4 linked regions of the Coturnix japonica genome follow. The protein of the gene in region 2 interacts with the protein of the main gene of each other region in a pairwise test. Links are inferred from orthologs where the notes say so. Each region holds a gene or a part of one and is shown on either strand. Other genes may lie near its edges.

Region 1 (4,061 bases), on a different chromosome or scaffold from region 2:
CAGCGGTCTCTTTCATCAAAATCTAATGAACGCGCAATTTCATCTTTATTAAGAATTCATTAGGTTCTCAGCAAGCCCCGTGTAATGGAGCTTGACCAGGTGAAATGCTAATGCCTGCATTATATTTAAATTCATTTTCAGAAGCATTGGTTTCCCCTGCGGTGCCGGCTCCCCCCGGCTGCTGCCGCGTCCCCACCCAGCCCCACTGCTCGCCCGGAGCTCCCAGCATGGCAGCCAGCTCCGCATCCTCAGGCACAAGGCTGCAGGCTGCCGTGTGCCACATTAGGGCTGCTCCCTTCAACATATAGACCTACAACAGGGTGTTTTTCAGCCCTCACTCTACTAATATAGCCCAGCCAGCCGGCTTTTATCTGGAACCAGTTCGTTTAAACAACAAGAGCTCTGGTCCCCGCGGCACAGGAGCCCGTGCGTGGTTGTGTAAGGCACCATGGCCACAGCTGCCCCTTCACCCACAGCGCTGTCGCTGTTCCAGTGGCAGCCACAGCCTCTCCTTCCACCAAAGCATCGCCCGCCATTCCAGCACGCTCCTGCAGAAGCCATTCCTAGAGATTAAATAATTTAGTGGTGTTCATCTGCAGCAGTTCCTCTCCCGATCCACCTTTCACATACAAACAAGTGCAAACCAAACCGATCCTCCCGGCCCCACATCCCCAAATGCCCTTTGACGGGGCCTCGGAGCCTTTGCACACCGATAGCAGCGGGAGAGGCGGATGGAACGGCACCGAGGGCGAGGCTGCTCGCTCCCACAGCCCTGCAGCTCTATGGGAAGAACGCTGCCTCGGGCGGGGACGGTGGTTCGGTCCTCTGGGACCCCCCCGCTACAGGAGATGTGCTGTTCCCCGTACAATCACGGCACCGCGCCGGGCTGCGGGCCCGCGGCGAGCCCACGCCCGAGGGTTGGCGAGCGGCGCCCGAGCCCCTTCGGCTATTTCCGAGCCTGCTCGGCTCCCCCCCGACCGCCCCCGAGCGCTCTCCGAAGGCAGCCGAGCGCCGAGGGAGGAGACGAGCGCTGCGCTCCCCGCGGTTCGAGTCCCCGCTGGGCGCTGTCCACCACGAGAACCGCCTGAAAGCCGCGCCACGCCGCGCCCGAGGGACAGCGCGGAGGGACTGCGGATGGCTACGGGCACACCGGGCACACCGGGCACACCGGGCACACCGGGCACATCGGGCACACCGCCCGCCCCACGGCCCCTCCCAGACACCGGCTCCTTCCCTATCGGGAAACAAGAACCGCTCCGTGCCTCTACCACCGTGACACCCAGCCCCAATGCACAGCTATGGCGCCTGCTCGTTCCAGTGGGAGGCTGCGGCTGGATGGGCTTTAATTAAAGGGAAGAAAAGGGAATGGAGTAATTCTGCACCTCCACACCTCCGTTGGTTCCCTGCACCTTCACTGGCTTCCCCGCACCTCCATTAGCTCCCTGTGCCTCTGCTGGCTCTCTCATGCCTCCGTTGGATCCCCATGCCTCCATTGAGCTCCCCACACCCCCGTTGACTCTCCCACTCTTCTGTACACTCTCCCACACCTCTATATGATGTCCTACATCTCTATAGGTTCTCTCACATCTCCAATGGCTCTTCCATACTTCTGTTGTCTCTCTCACACCACCACTGACTCTCCCACATCTCTATATGCTCTCCCAGATCTCTAAAGGCCCTCCCACACCTCTGTTGGCTCTCCCACATCTCTACAAGGCTCTCCCAAATCTCTGTAGGCTCTCCTACATCTCTGTTGACTCTCCTACATCTCTGTTGACTCTCCCACACCTCTGTTGGCTCTCCCACACCTCTACAGGCTCTCCCACCCCTCATTATGCTCTCCCACAGCCCCGCTGGCTCTCCCCCTGGAAGCACCGCCTGGCCACGTGCTGGGATCACTGTGTGCTGGGGGCACGGTGTGGGGCAGCCATGTCAGCCCACTCCCATTGGGGCCCGGCACAGCTGTCAGGGAGGTGCTGCATGAAGGCAGGGCTGATTTTTCAGGGCGCGTTGGGTCGCGTGTTTTTCCTTTCCCCTTTTTAATAACCCGTTTTCAACATAATTGGCGACCGGCGGCCAAGTTCGCCTCTCATTAATTAAAAGGCTCAAATCTCGGGTAAAAGGGGCTTTGGGTGGCAGCGAGCCTCGCTTTAAATCCGCATTACGGGCGGATTTCGTGCTTTTTTCCCCCTCCCTCCTCCTCCTCCTCCCGAGCGCCGGTCCCGGCCGCAGCCGCCCACCGCCCGCCCCGCCGCCCTCATCCCGGCGTTCAGCACCACGGGGCCCCGAACAGCAGCGGCCGCCGCCTCCCGCCCGGCGCTGCCCTCGGGTACAACATGGCGCCCGCGGCCCTCCGCGCCGCCCCGCGCCCCGCGGCACTCACTTCATCTGCTTCACGATGGTGCTCTTCCCCGACTCTCCGGCCCCTGCGGGACAGAGAGAGACAAGCGGTGAGCGCGGGGCGCGGCGGCGCGGGGCGCGGAGCGGAGCGGGGCTCACCGAGCAGCAGCAGCTTCACGTCTTTGGCCGCGCTGATGCCGTCCTCCTTCAGGTTCTTCTCGATGGCCTTGCTGCGCTCCAGGGCGGCCCGCTCCTCGGCGCTCAGGGTACATCCCATGGCGAGAACGGATTGAATGGAATTAAAAAGAAAAAAAAAGAAAAGAAAAAGAAAAAAAAAAAGGGAGGGGATAAAAAAAAAAGCGCAGCCCCCGCCGCCGCCGGGCGCACCGAGCTGCGGGCAGCGCAACGCCGACAGCCGCGGGGATTAACAAAGGCCTGCGGGCTCCGCAGCGGCGGGGCCGGCGGCTCCGTGCCCGAGCGCTCAGCGCATCCACGGGCTGCGGGCAGCGCGGGCGGCCGCGGGCGGGGCGGGGCGGAGCTGAAGGAGGAGGAGGAGCGAAGGGGGAGGAGGAACGTGACGAACGGGGCGGGGCCGCTCCGGGCTGCGCGCCTGGCGGGGCGCGGGGATGCGGCGGCGGTGCGGGATGTGCGGGATGTGCCGGGGGAGGGGGACGCGCTCCGCAGGCCTCGCCCGCTGCCGTGACGCGCGAGTACCGCGCATGCTCCCAGCACAGCGCATGAGGGAACGGGCTGGGTCAGATGGAGAGGAGCTCGGCATGGAGCTCGGCATGGAGCTCGGCATGGAGCTCGGCATGGAGCTCATGGCTCTGCGACCCCTGACAGCAGGTTGGGGGGGGGCTCGGCCTCTGCTCCAGATAACAGCGGCGGGGTGAGAGGTAGTGACCTCGAGCTGCACCGCGGATGGTCAGGTTGGGGACTGGGAACTATTCCTTCTTTAAGAGTGAGGCGGTGGCACAGCTGCGCAGGGAAGGGGGGAGTCACCATCCATGGAGCTGTCAGAGCCGTGCCATGTGGTCCTGGTGGGGTGAGCTGGGGTTGGACCCAGGGAAGGGAGAGCTCTGATTGATTCTATGAAACCAAGGCCTGTATTCTGGGAGCAGGCTGCCCTCTGCCACGAGCAGCCAGGCCGAGGAGCTCACTGAAGGAACAGAGCTGCTGCCACAGCCCTCTCCACCTCCCTGCAAACAGAACCAGAAGGATGCTGTGGGGCCGCTGCCCGCTGTGACTATCCATAATGAAACACCCGGCCCAGGTGGGGCTGGGCACAGGCTGACATTATATGACCTCCTTCCCATAAAGCACCGTTTCCATTTTCCTTCTACACCTCTGAAACAAAGGGGAGAAGCGTGGCATGTGGTTAACAGTGTATAGCAGAGATGTGAGGCAGAGCAGACAAAGGGAAGTAAAAGGGAGCTCATAAATAATGTTAGCGTACTCAAGGGCCAGCGGTATTTACCGAACATTTGTGAGCTAATAGGTACTGAATATCTGAATTTGGGGTAATTTATTTCTGGGAGCCCAGGGGAAAAGGGTATACCTGCATGGGAAAGCAAACCTACTGCCTGTATTCAGCAGGGAGCGGGTGGGGGTGGGGGTGGCTGCGGAGCAATTCCTGCTCTTTCATACTTGAGCAGATCTCCTGTGTAAAATCAATAGGATCAGAATTTCAATCAGTAGGTTTCATTTCAATGGTACCAGCC
Region 2 (3,592 bases):
CCCTGCTGGGATGCACATCCCAGGTCCTGGCTCTGCAGCAGGATGGTGACCTGGGGCAATGGGACAAGGAGCATTTCCACTGCAGGACGGGAATGGAGCAGGTGCAGTCGGGGCCACTGAGCTCTGCAGAGCTCTGAGCCTGGCCAACACTTGGCACAGAGTTTGGGTGTAGTGCTGGGAGTTGAGAACTTCCCTCGTTTCCTTCCACTCACATGATGCCGTGGAGCAGCTCTGACTTCCCTGTCCTGAACCTAAATGCCTTCATGGTGCCTAGCAGTGGTATGGGGCACAGCTGTGCGAGGCTGAACACTGACCGTGGACTGTGCCCAATCCCTGCAGGGCAGAGCTGGGGTTTGGAGCATCCAGCATGGAGTAAGCAGTCCCCAAACAGTGGGGGGACCCTATGAGTGCCACACTGTCACACTGCCAGCAAAGCAAGAGCAGGGTCAGAGAGCAGCGAGGGGCAGCCCACTGCCGTACCCTCCCCTCCTCCTTTCCTTCTCACTTCCTTTTCTTGCACCAATGTCTGCCTGCATTACCCCAGCCTGCACAGGGCTCTTCCCAGCATGGCACAGCCCTTCCCCGGATGCTCCCACGCAGGGTCCATGCTCACCATGGTGGTAACATGGTGCCACTCCATTTGCCTGTTGCAGGCTCCAGCCGTGCGGCTGCAGGAACGCTAACCGGGCTGCTCGGGTCACCCGCAGCCTGGGAGCAGCAGCGAGCAGCAGAAGAACCCCTGGAGCACGACCCACCCACGGCCACCGTGTATGAGGCTGGGACGCAGGTGAGATGGAAACAGGGCTGGGAGCAATGGGGGACAGGGAGGGGAGTGCAAATAAAGCACAGCAAACCACAGTGAGAGGGTCCCTTGGTCACCTCTGTGAGGTCTGGAGAGGAGGACGCATGGGGACAGTGTGTCACCTAGAGCAGAGGGAAGACCTCAGCCCCTTGGATGCCCCTTGGACCCTAATGCTGCTTCTTGAGGTGGGGGGAGCCAGGTTGGTTGCCTATCCTCTGCTCACCCACTGCTCTCCATTCCCTCCTGCCTTGCAGTACGCAGGACCCGCGTCCGCAGAGCCACCCCTTCCGATGTCCCGGCATGAGACTTCTCCGACAACGGTGCAACCCGCCAGCAACCACCGCCCCAACGCCTGCTGCTTCTGCTGGTGCTGCTGCTGCAGTTGCTCATGGTAAGCACGTGTTACACGAGCAGCACTTTGGTCCCACGTGGCTGGTGCAGCACCGAGGTGTGGGTGCAGCTGGAGCTGCATGATGGGGTCCCTTTGGGCACAGCACCATGGGCAGCAGTGCAGGAGCACAGCTGGGATGGAGCCGTCCCCACTCACCTTATCTCAGGGGTGCCCATATATCAGGTTTTGGAGAGTTAACCTGCTCTCAGCATCAACACATTGTGAGATTGCTGACAGCTTTGTGCACCGCTGCAGTGTTGGGTTCTGCAGCTACTGACGGCATTGAACCCAGAGGATCATCCAGACCTGGAGCTGAACAAACCCAGGGACCAAGCGCAGCACTGATGCATCATCACTGTGCAAGGCCCTGCTCTTGGAGCCCCATTCTCCTGATCCAGCTTTGTTTCCTCAAATGAATCATAGAATGTAACAATGCAACAAGGACTGAGAGCAGCACAACACCCACCCGTGTCCCACCTGGTCATCTGCAGGACTTTGGGAGCAGAAGCAATCGAGGATGGTGCAATGCAATCCCAGATTCGGATGCATCATGCACTGAGCCCTGTGCCCAGCCCAGCTGCTGCTCTGAGGGCTAAACCCAGGATTGCAGCCAGGGCCAGTGTTGCAAGCAGGAAGCTCTGCGGTCGGAGCCCAGCTCCGAAATTGGTGGGCCTGGGGGAAGTTGGCTGGAGGCCGCTTTCCTATTGCAGCACAAGGCTGAGGATGGGGGGAACAGGAGACATCGGTGCTGCAGTTGTTGCCTGCAGGCGGTGCTGGTGCTGTGCGTCGTGGCTGCACCAAGTGCAGGATCCGGCACTTTTGTCTTCCTAATTCTGTCCCTGCCGTCTGCTTCCTGCGTGGGCTGAGCCCTGCTGGCAGCTGGAGGAGGTGATAGCACAGCACGGTGCCCTGCAGCAATGTATTGGTGCTGGGTGGCACGGTGCATGTTGGCACAGCAGTGCAGGAAACATCGCTGCGTGGTCAGGGCGGAATTGCACAAAGGAAGGGAAGGAACAGAGGTGTGGGATGTGGGTGCCTACAAAGGGAGTTTGATGGGCAGGAGGTAGCGGGGTCAGGGTGAGGTGGGGCTGCAGCCCCGTGTCCCACCACCCATTACTACCTTTCCATCTCCACGTTAGGAACGAGGACCGGGAGCGAGCGTGGAGGGCGTCCCGGGAGACCAAACTGGAGACCATCCCAAACTGTGAAGCGTGGTGAGTGCGGGGACACCGGGTGCATGGCACGGCATCTCATGGCACGGCATCTCATGGCACGGCATCTCATGGCGCAGCATCTCATGGCATGGCACAGGGAGCCGTTCACAGCCTCTCTGCTTGGAGGGATATGTGGGGGCTCTGAGCATCCACTGCCTTGGAAATGAGCACACAGCTCAGCCATGGGTGCTCTGCTAGTGCCAGGGATCAGATGCATTCATTAGCCAGTGGTAATGATGGCTCCTGCCTTGCTTTAGTGATTAGGATTTTGCTCCCCCAACAGTCAGCGCTGGTGCATGGTCAGCACAGGAAGGGGTTTGTGCCCTCCTGGGTATGTGCAGAGCCAGCAGCATAATTCCCCTTTGGTGGAATTCACTTTTAACCTGTGGCCTGGCTGAGCAGAGCCGGGACAAACCCCATGGGCACTTATGGAGATCTCCAGGAGCTCCATAATGAACAGAGCCTGAGCAAGAGCACGAGCACAGGGGATGTTTGGGAGCATTCCCCCTGGGATGGCTCAGAGCTGGGATCATCCCTGTGCACTCCTTGTTCTGGGGGATGGATACAGTGAAATAAACCTGGCCCCATCCCATCCCATATCCAGCACTGTACTCCAGCTGTAACACCTTCCCTTTGCTTCCCACCCCGCTGACCCCACAGCTCCAAACCCACCACGGAGGAGGTTCGGGGCTGGGCTCAGTCCTTTGACAAGCTGATGAAGAGCCCGGCGGGTCGCAACGTCTTCCGGGAGTTCTTGAGGACTGAATACAGTGAGGAGAACATGCTCTTCTGGTTGGCGTGCGAGGAGCTCAAAACCGAATGCAACAAACACACCATCGATGAGAAGGCCAGGACCATCTATGAGGACTACATCTCCATCCTCTCACCCAAGGAAGTACGTGGCACAAATGATCCGGGAAGGTTTTGGTCCATTTCTGTGGTTTAAGTGGAGGTTTGGGGGTGGGTTCTTAGGGAAACGACACCCAGGTGCACAGTGTTGGGGGTACCGGAGGGATGGTCACGGTGCTATGTCCCTAAATCCAACGGGATGGCATCGGAAGGATGTTGGTACCCAGCTACATCCCCATCCTGTCTGTCCCCGAAGTTCCTCGCGTTCCGGGGTTGTGCTGCGGGGCCGAAACCTCACGAGGGCACCATCGTGCCGAGATGATGCGGCTGCGGGGG
Region 3 (2,330 bases), on a different chromosome or scaffold from region 2:
GAAATGAGTGTGCTGAGAAAATAGGTTTTAAGCGCCTAAACTGAGTATCTAGAATTACTGGGTCTCTTCTATACTAATTTCTCATTGTGTATTTTATACATTGTTGTTAGCAGTACCTCTTAATCTGACAACATGCTGGGAAAACAAATGTAGCCAATGAAATACTCAGATACAATAATTATAAGCTTGAGAAGAAACTAGTAATTCTGTCCCTTCAGCAGCTCATAAATAGTAATTTTATAGTGAAGTATAGATGTATAGACTGAGTAGTGACAGTAAAGGAAAATATTGACTAGCATATGTAGAAAAAAGTGCATTCATTCAAACACGTGAGTTACATGAATAATGCTACATTGGAAATGATGATTTCAGCATTTGACATTTGAGCGTTTAATTTTACAACCTTTATATTTTCTAGTTTACATCCTTGCTTTATATTCTCTTGCAAGTTCTTTTGAGTTCTATAGTAACTTCCTTTTCTCCTTGAAATTGTAATTATTTTTAGAAATGCATAAAATGTAGATGATATATCATAATTTTATCTCATTCTCTCTTTATGGCATATTGTATAGTTCTGTGTATTTATGTTTTGTGGTGGTCACTAATTCCTGGGAAGTTATTTCATATTTTGTGATTTTAAAAAGTGTTATTTTTCGTGCTAAACTGGACAGGAAAATACATTGTTGAACAGCCAGTATAAAGTGGACTTCTAACATGATCTATGATTGTAAACCTACAGCTCTGTTTTGAGGAGTTATTATAATAGATTTTCTATGTAAAATAGTGTATGGGGGGGTCATTCTTTAGGTTTTCTGTCAAATATGAGTTATTAAATATACTTGCTTTTTGTATTTTTTTTTTCCAGAGACTGTCATTATGATAAAGTTCTTTGCTATAAATAATATTTAAAGTTTTGTTTTTCTTACCAGTATGTTATGTAGCATACTACTTCCATAATTCTAACTATTCCTGGAGAAAGTAGTGTGATTCTCTTATATAGGCGAGGCATTATTTCACTTCATTTAAGGCAAACAGTTGCTTTGGTGACAGACCTTAGGGCTACTCTAAGGTGAAGTGAGCCTGACAAAATGAAGCAGTCGAGAATGGGTATTCAGAGAGGCCACAACTACATTCTTTGGCTATTTCCCTTTCATCCTACATCATCAACAGAATAGTGACAGCTAAGTGTAGCTCTTTCTAGCAGAAAAATAACCCTTGTACTTAAATTCTTCCCTTTGGGATAAAAAGTTTGAGATCTGCATAAAACTGAATACAAAAAATTGTCTTCTCATTTATGGTTTGAATGATAAATATGTTCTTATGATTCACAGAATTAAAGATTGGCCAGATGTGATCTCTGAAGATCATTTATTATCCCATCCCAGCTGAAGCTGGACTATTGCCAACAGTAAATCAGGCCAGATCAACTCTATCAAGTTGAGGGGAGAAAACAAGTACAGATGGGGGTTTCACAAAACATTGAGTCTTCTAGTTATTTTTTTCCTCTAAATTCTAATCTAAATCTTCCAAGCTGCAATTAGTGTTCACTGCTACATGATACTTCATGTGATACTGATGATAAGAATTTATCTTCATCATCTTTGTAACTATGCTTCAAATAATTGAAGGGTTTTATTAGATCAACCCTTAGTCTCTTCTTAACCAGTCTAAATAAGACAAATTCCCTTATCTTCTCTTTGTAGTTCAGTGCAGTGTTTAGTTACTTGCTGCTTAAGCTCAGAGGGCTAAGATACTAAACTTAAATGTCTCACATGATCACGTCCAGTGGATTCAGCTGTATTTTGCCCTCATAATAGTAAATTTTTTAAAAAAATATTAAAAATAATAAGTGCCAGACTGTAGAAAAGTGTATCAAAATGAGTGAATTAAGGTTCCTAAAGTTTCTTGCTCAGGTAAGATGAACAGTCACCAAATAGAATAAATGTTCCTTCTACAAGCACATTTTGCTCATTAATTGAAATAATAATAATATATTGTGTGCTATCACTGAAATGCTATTTACCCCGTTGTTTTCTCACTTACAGAGTCGAATGGCAGAAAGTTTGCGCCTCTTTGATTCCATCTGCAACAACAACTGGTTTATCAACACTTCCCTCATCCTTTTTTTGAATAAGAAAGATCTGCTGGCAGAAAAAATCCGACGCATCCCCTTAACAGTCTGCTTTCCTGAATACAAAGGCCAAAACACGTATGAGGAGGCAGCAGTCTACATCCAGCGCCAGTTTGAGGACTTAAATCGCAACAAGGAGACCAAGGAGATCTACTCGCACTTCACCTGCGCCACTGATACCAAGAACGTCCAGTTTGTC
Region 4 (3,592 bases), on a different chromosome or scaffold from region 2:
TTAAACAATAATAGCACAAGTATATAAACTTCCCTCTGTACAGAGCTCTTCATTTAGAAGGATCCCTCTTCCTCTAGTAAACTCTGCTTTTTTGTTTCGTTGTTTTAGATAACTTTGCCTCCAGTTTCATAGTAAAATTGATGTTTTAGACATGCAATTGTATCCTGAGAATTGCTAAGTTTTGATTACACTTAAATGTTGATATCTTCTCTATTTACTGTGCAAAAAGCACAAATAAGATTTGTATTGTTTTTAGAATCACTGGGCTTCTTGGCGTGCATCACAACAATTTTGGAAATGAGACCTTACTGTTGTAAACATATGTGCAATTATAAATTCTCAGTAGAAAATCACTGATCGTGTATTTAGCATTATACTAAAACATATATTAATTCTGACTAAGATACTGAGTTGTTCTCTTCACAACTGTTTTCAGAGTAACTTGGGTTTTAGTTGTAGTAAAAGTACATTAACTTCCTGCAGAGCTATACAAGGGTGAAGGTGTTAATACAAAGAACACTGGTAAATGTAGAACCGTGTCTGCTTTCTGGGATTTCAGAATAGTAGTGCTTTGTAGTAGAATCAATCATGATTTTTCTTCTAGAACAAAGGTGTCTTTAAAACTTCATTTTTAAAAAAGAAGTGGGAAAATAAGAGGAAAATAACGTTTTATCTCAGAGAACATTGTTCATATAAGAGTCATGTACAGTGTAATGAATAGAACTAGAACTTGTGTAATTTTTCACAATTATTTGATTACTATTTTATGAATAACTGAATGCAGTATTTATTTTTACCTCCAGTTACTTGAATGACTTGGACAGGATAGCACAAACAAGCTACATTCCAACTCAACAGGATGTTCTCAGGACTAGAGTGAAAACTACAGGAATAGTGGAAACTCACTTTACTTTCAAAGATCTTCATTTTAAGTATGTAAATTATTCTGCGTATTCATCTGTCTGTTAGTAGCTTTTGTAAAGTTCTCGTGGATGGACTTTTAGTGATGCAATTTAACAAATTTGTCTAACCATAACTAATTATTTTATTATTTTTCTTTCCACTGGAAAATTCCTGCTTGTCTCAGTTTTCTGAAGGTATCTGGGAGTTGTTTGAATTTCTATAGTAAATCAATATAAATATGGCAATATTAAGTAATAAATGCTTTTGTTTTTATTTGAAGCTTTTTGGAAAGTTTATTTTCAGTGTAAATCAAATCTTGAAATATTCACTTTTATACTGTGTTAACATATAGTTGTTTGATCAGATTTTTCCCTTTAAATTCAGTTGGAGAGCTGTAAATATTTGTTGCTCTGGTTATGAAACAGCAAATCCTTTTTCCTGGAGAATTGAACTTAAAGCTATACTTTAGGTTTTTGTAAGGTAATACTTTATTTACTGATGAAAGACTGTTAGTAAAGTTTCTTTTGACACAGTTTGTACCAAACACTACTAGCCTTGTAACCATCTTCTGTTTAAAGACATTCATTATGAAAGTGTAGGATAGTGTAAGTGTAACACTACTTTGGCTTTTCCTTTCTAGGAAAATGAGAAGGAAGCTCAGTACAACTCTCATTGCATGTATGTTTTAGAGTGTGTGGAGATAGTTGTCAGCACATCTATACACATTCTGGTTTCTAAAAATAACCAATTGAATCTCATCAACTGCAATTTATCTTAGTCATGTGGTACACCAAATCAGTAGGTTTTCTGTCTACACATGTACATCACCACCCCCTCCTCTTACAGCCTGGGGAAAACATAATCAATGATAAAAGTCAGTTAATTAATTATGAGACTTTCCAGAGCCTCCTATCTTTTGTGACAGGTGAGAGAGGTTACAAAAAATATTTGTCAAATAAGCCTTATTCATGTCTGGGGCTTGGGGAGTAGGGAAGCAATCAACTTGTATAACCTTAAAAGGAAAAAAAAAAAAAACAAAAAACAAAAACAAAAAACATAACAAGAGCAACAAGAAAAAACAAGCTAACAGTGAAAGAAATCATAAGAATCACATGTTCATAACATATCACATGTTCTATGGGTGCTGGAGCTGTGTTCTCAGCTTAAATAATAGAAAGGAGCAAAGCATCTCAAACTTGGCAACACTAGCTTTAAAAAAATCATTAATTGTTAATGAAATACCTTGCACAGATCTATAAATTTGCACACTTGCTGATAAACCATTCAGAAACCAATCCATAGAGCTAAGCAACAAAGATTAGCATAGAGATGACTTGAAGGACAGGACCATCTGTGGTGCTTTAGACTTGGTTCAGTGAAATAATTTCTCTTAATATATTGACATTCACCATGCAATCTCACCAGGGAAGTCTGTATTATTTAAATACATTAAATGGAAGTTCCTTGAAGCATTTATTTAATGGCATCATCCTTTAGATAGGGCAGGTAGATTCAGCTCTTACAAACTTTAATTCTTTCAGTATTGCCTTGTCTTTCTTTGTAGTCTACTGTAGACGGTAATGTATTCTGCAGAAGCAAAACTTTTATAGTATTAATATAGTATTCATAGTATAGTGCCAAACTGCACTATGATTGGAATATTAAGGCATACTCCCAGATTGTGAGGAGGAATCTGTAAAGCATCCAAGCTTCTCATTCTTTCAAAGCTCTTTTATTTATCTGAATATCAGGCAGCTTCTGTCAGTGTCTTAGTGTTCTGAGACTGTGACCTAACAGATCTCTGTGTACACAATTAAGGCTTTCATGGTAGATGCTAACTAAAGTGGATGGAGAAGTTCTATCCTTTGTTCTTCCGTCATCTCCTTCCCGTGTAAATATTTTTATACTTACTGAATTCTAAACTTTTTCATGATGATGCCTTAAAAAGTTAAAATTGCTTGGAAATATCACTGAAGACATAAGTCAGGCCTGTCTTAAAAGGAATAATTGCATTTCCTTGTAACAAGGAGGAAAAATCCAATATTTGCGTGGTAAAATATTGGCTACCATAGCTAAGGAGGCATATGGTGACCTTTTCACATTGTTTTTAAGCTGAAAGTAATCACAGGAATCTGAGACAAGACTCTTCTTTGCATGGTAGAAAGGAGACAGATGGAAAAGGGCTGTGTTCTGTTTTGTTGAGAAAATTCAGCCATTTGCATCCATTTTAGGGTAGTACTATTGTCCGCTTATTAGATTGCATTTTGTTTCTGTTGTTGTTGCTTGGTTGTTTAATTCTTTTTTTCATTACTTAGTTCATTAAATCCAGGATACTGTTTTTCTGGCTTGCAGAATACTTGAGGTTCAGTTAATAAAGATGTCTAATAAAACATTCAGTCTTCCAGATTCACTGTAGCTCAGATGTTAAAAAATAGTCCTCAAAGCACTTAGATAGCAGAGAAAAGCAAATTTATGTAAACTATGCTAACTTGCTGTTCCTCTGCTGTTAAGTGCTTGTATGTGGTCTTTTCATATCACGCTGTTTCTGATTAGCAGGGAATTGGAAAGAAACATCTTTATAGTTTAGTTGTGCCACTTAACTGCATTTCCAAAAAGTTTTTTATTAGAGGGGAAATTACTAGTCTGTCTTATTATATGATGCCTGCTTTGTCTTTTAAGAAGAGAATGT

What was found.
Region 1: the proteins of regulator of G-protein signaling 19-like (region 2) and GNAO1 interact in a two-hybrid assay, tested with the Homo sapiens proteins (2 studies listed by BioGRID). The link is inferred for Coturnix japonica from reciprocal best matches to the Homo sapiens genes RGS19 and GNAO1.
Region 3: the proteins of regulator of G-protein signaling 19-like (region 2) and GNAZ interact in a two-hybrid assay, tested with the Homo sapiens proteins (2 studies listed by BioGRID). The link is inferred for Coturnix japonica from reciprocal best matches to the Homo sapiens genes RGS19 and GNAZ.
Region 4: the proteins of regulator of G-protein signaling 19-like (region 2) and guanine nucleotide-binding protein G(i) subunit alpha-1 interact in a two-hybrid assay, tested with the Homo sapiens proteins (2 studies listed by BioGRID). The link is inferred for Coturnix japonica from reciprocal best matches to the Homo sapiens genes RGS19 and GNAI1.

The regions. Positions count from the first base shown.
Region 1 is NC_029526.1:480,195-484,255, forward strand, and holds the start of GNAO1 (guanine nucleotide-binding protein G(o) subunit alpha), read right to left. Parts: upstream 2,877-4,061; 5' UTR 2,618-2,876; coding exon 2,500-2,617; intron 2,427-2,499; coding exon 2,384-2,426; intron 1-2,383. UniProt on the Homo sapiens protein: Guanine nucleotide-binding proteins (G proteins) function as transducers downstream of G protein-coupled receptors (GPCRs) in numerous signaling cascades.
Region 2 is NC_029535.1:8,395,430-8,399,021, forward strand, and holds part of regulator of G-protein signaling 19-like, read left to right. Parts: intron 1-653; 5' UTR 654-787; intron 788-1,056; 5' UTR 1,057-1,092; coding exon 1,093-1,193; intron 1,194-2,332; coding exon 2,333-2,407; intron 2,408-3,067; coding exon 3,068-3,302; intron 3,303-3,592. UniProt on the Homo sapiens protein: Inhibits signal transduction by increasing the GTPase activity of G protein alpha subunits thereby driving them into their inactive GDP-bound form. Binds to G-alpha subfamily 1 members, with the order G(i)a3 > G(i)a1 > G(o)a >> G(z)a/G(i)a2.
Region 3 is NC_029530.1:7,698,353-7,700,682, reverse strand, and holds part of GNAZ (guanine nucleotide-binding protein G(z) subunit alpha), read left to right. Parts: intron 1-2,045; coding exon 2,046-2,330. UniProt on the Homo sapiens protein: Guanine nucleotide-binding proteins (G proteins) are involved as modulators or transducers in various transmembrane signaling systems.
Region 4 is NC_029516.1:10,215,997-10,219,588, reverse strand, and holds part of guanine nucleotide-binding protein G(i) subunit alpha-1, read left to right. Parts: intron 1-803; coding exon 804-932; intron 933-3,592. UniProt on the Homo sapiens protein: Guanine nucleotide-binding proteins (G proteins) function as transducers downstream of G protein-coupled receptors (GPCRs) in numerous signaling cascades.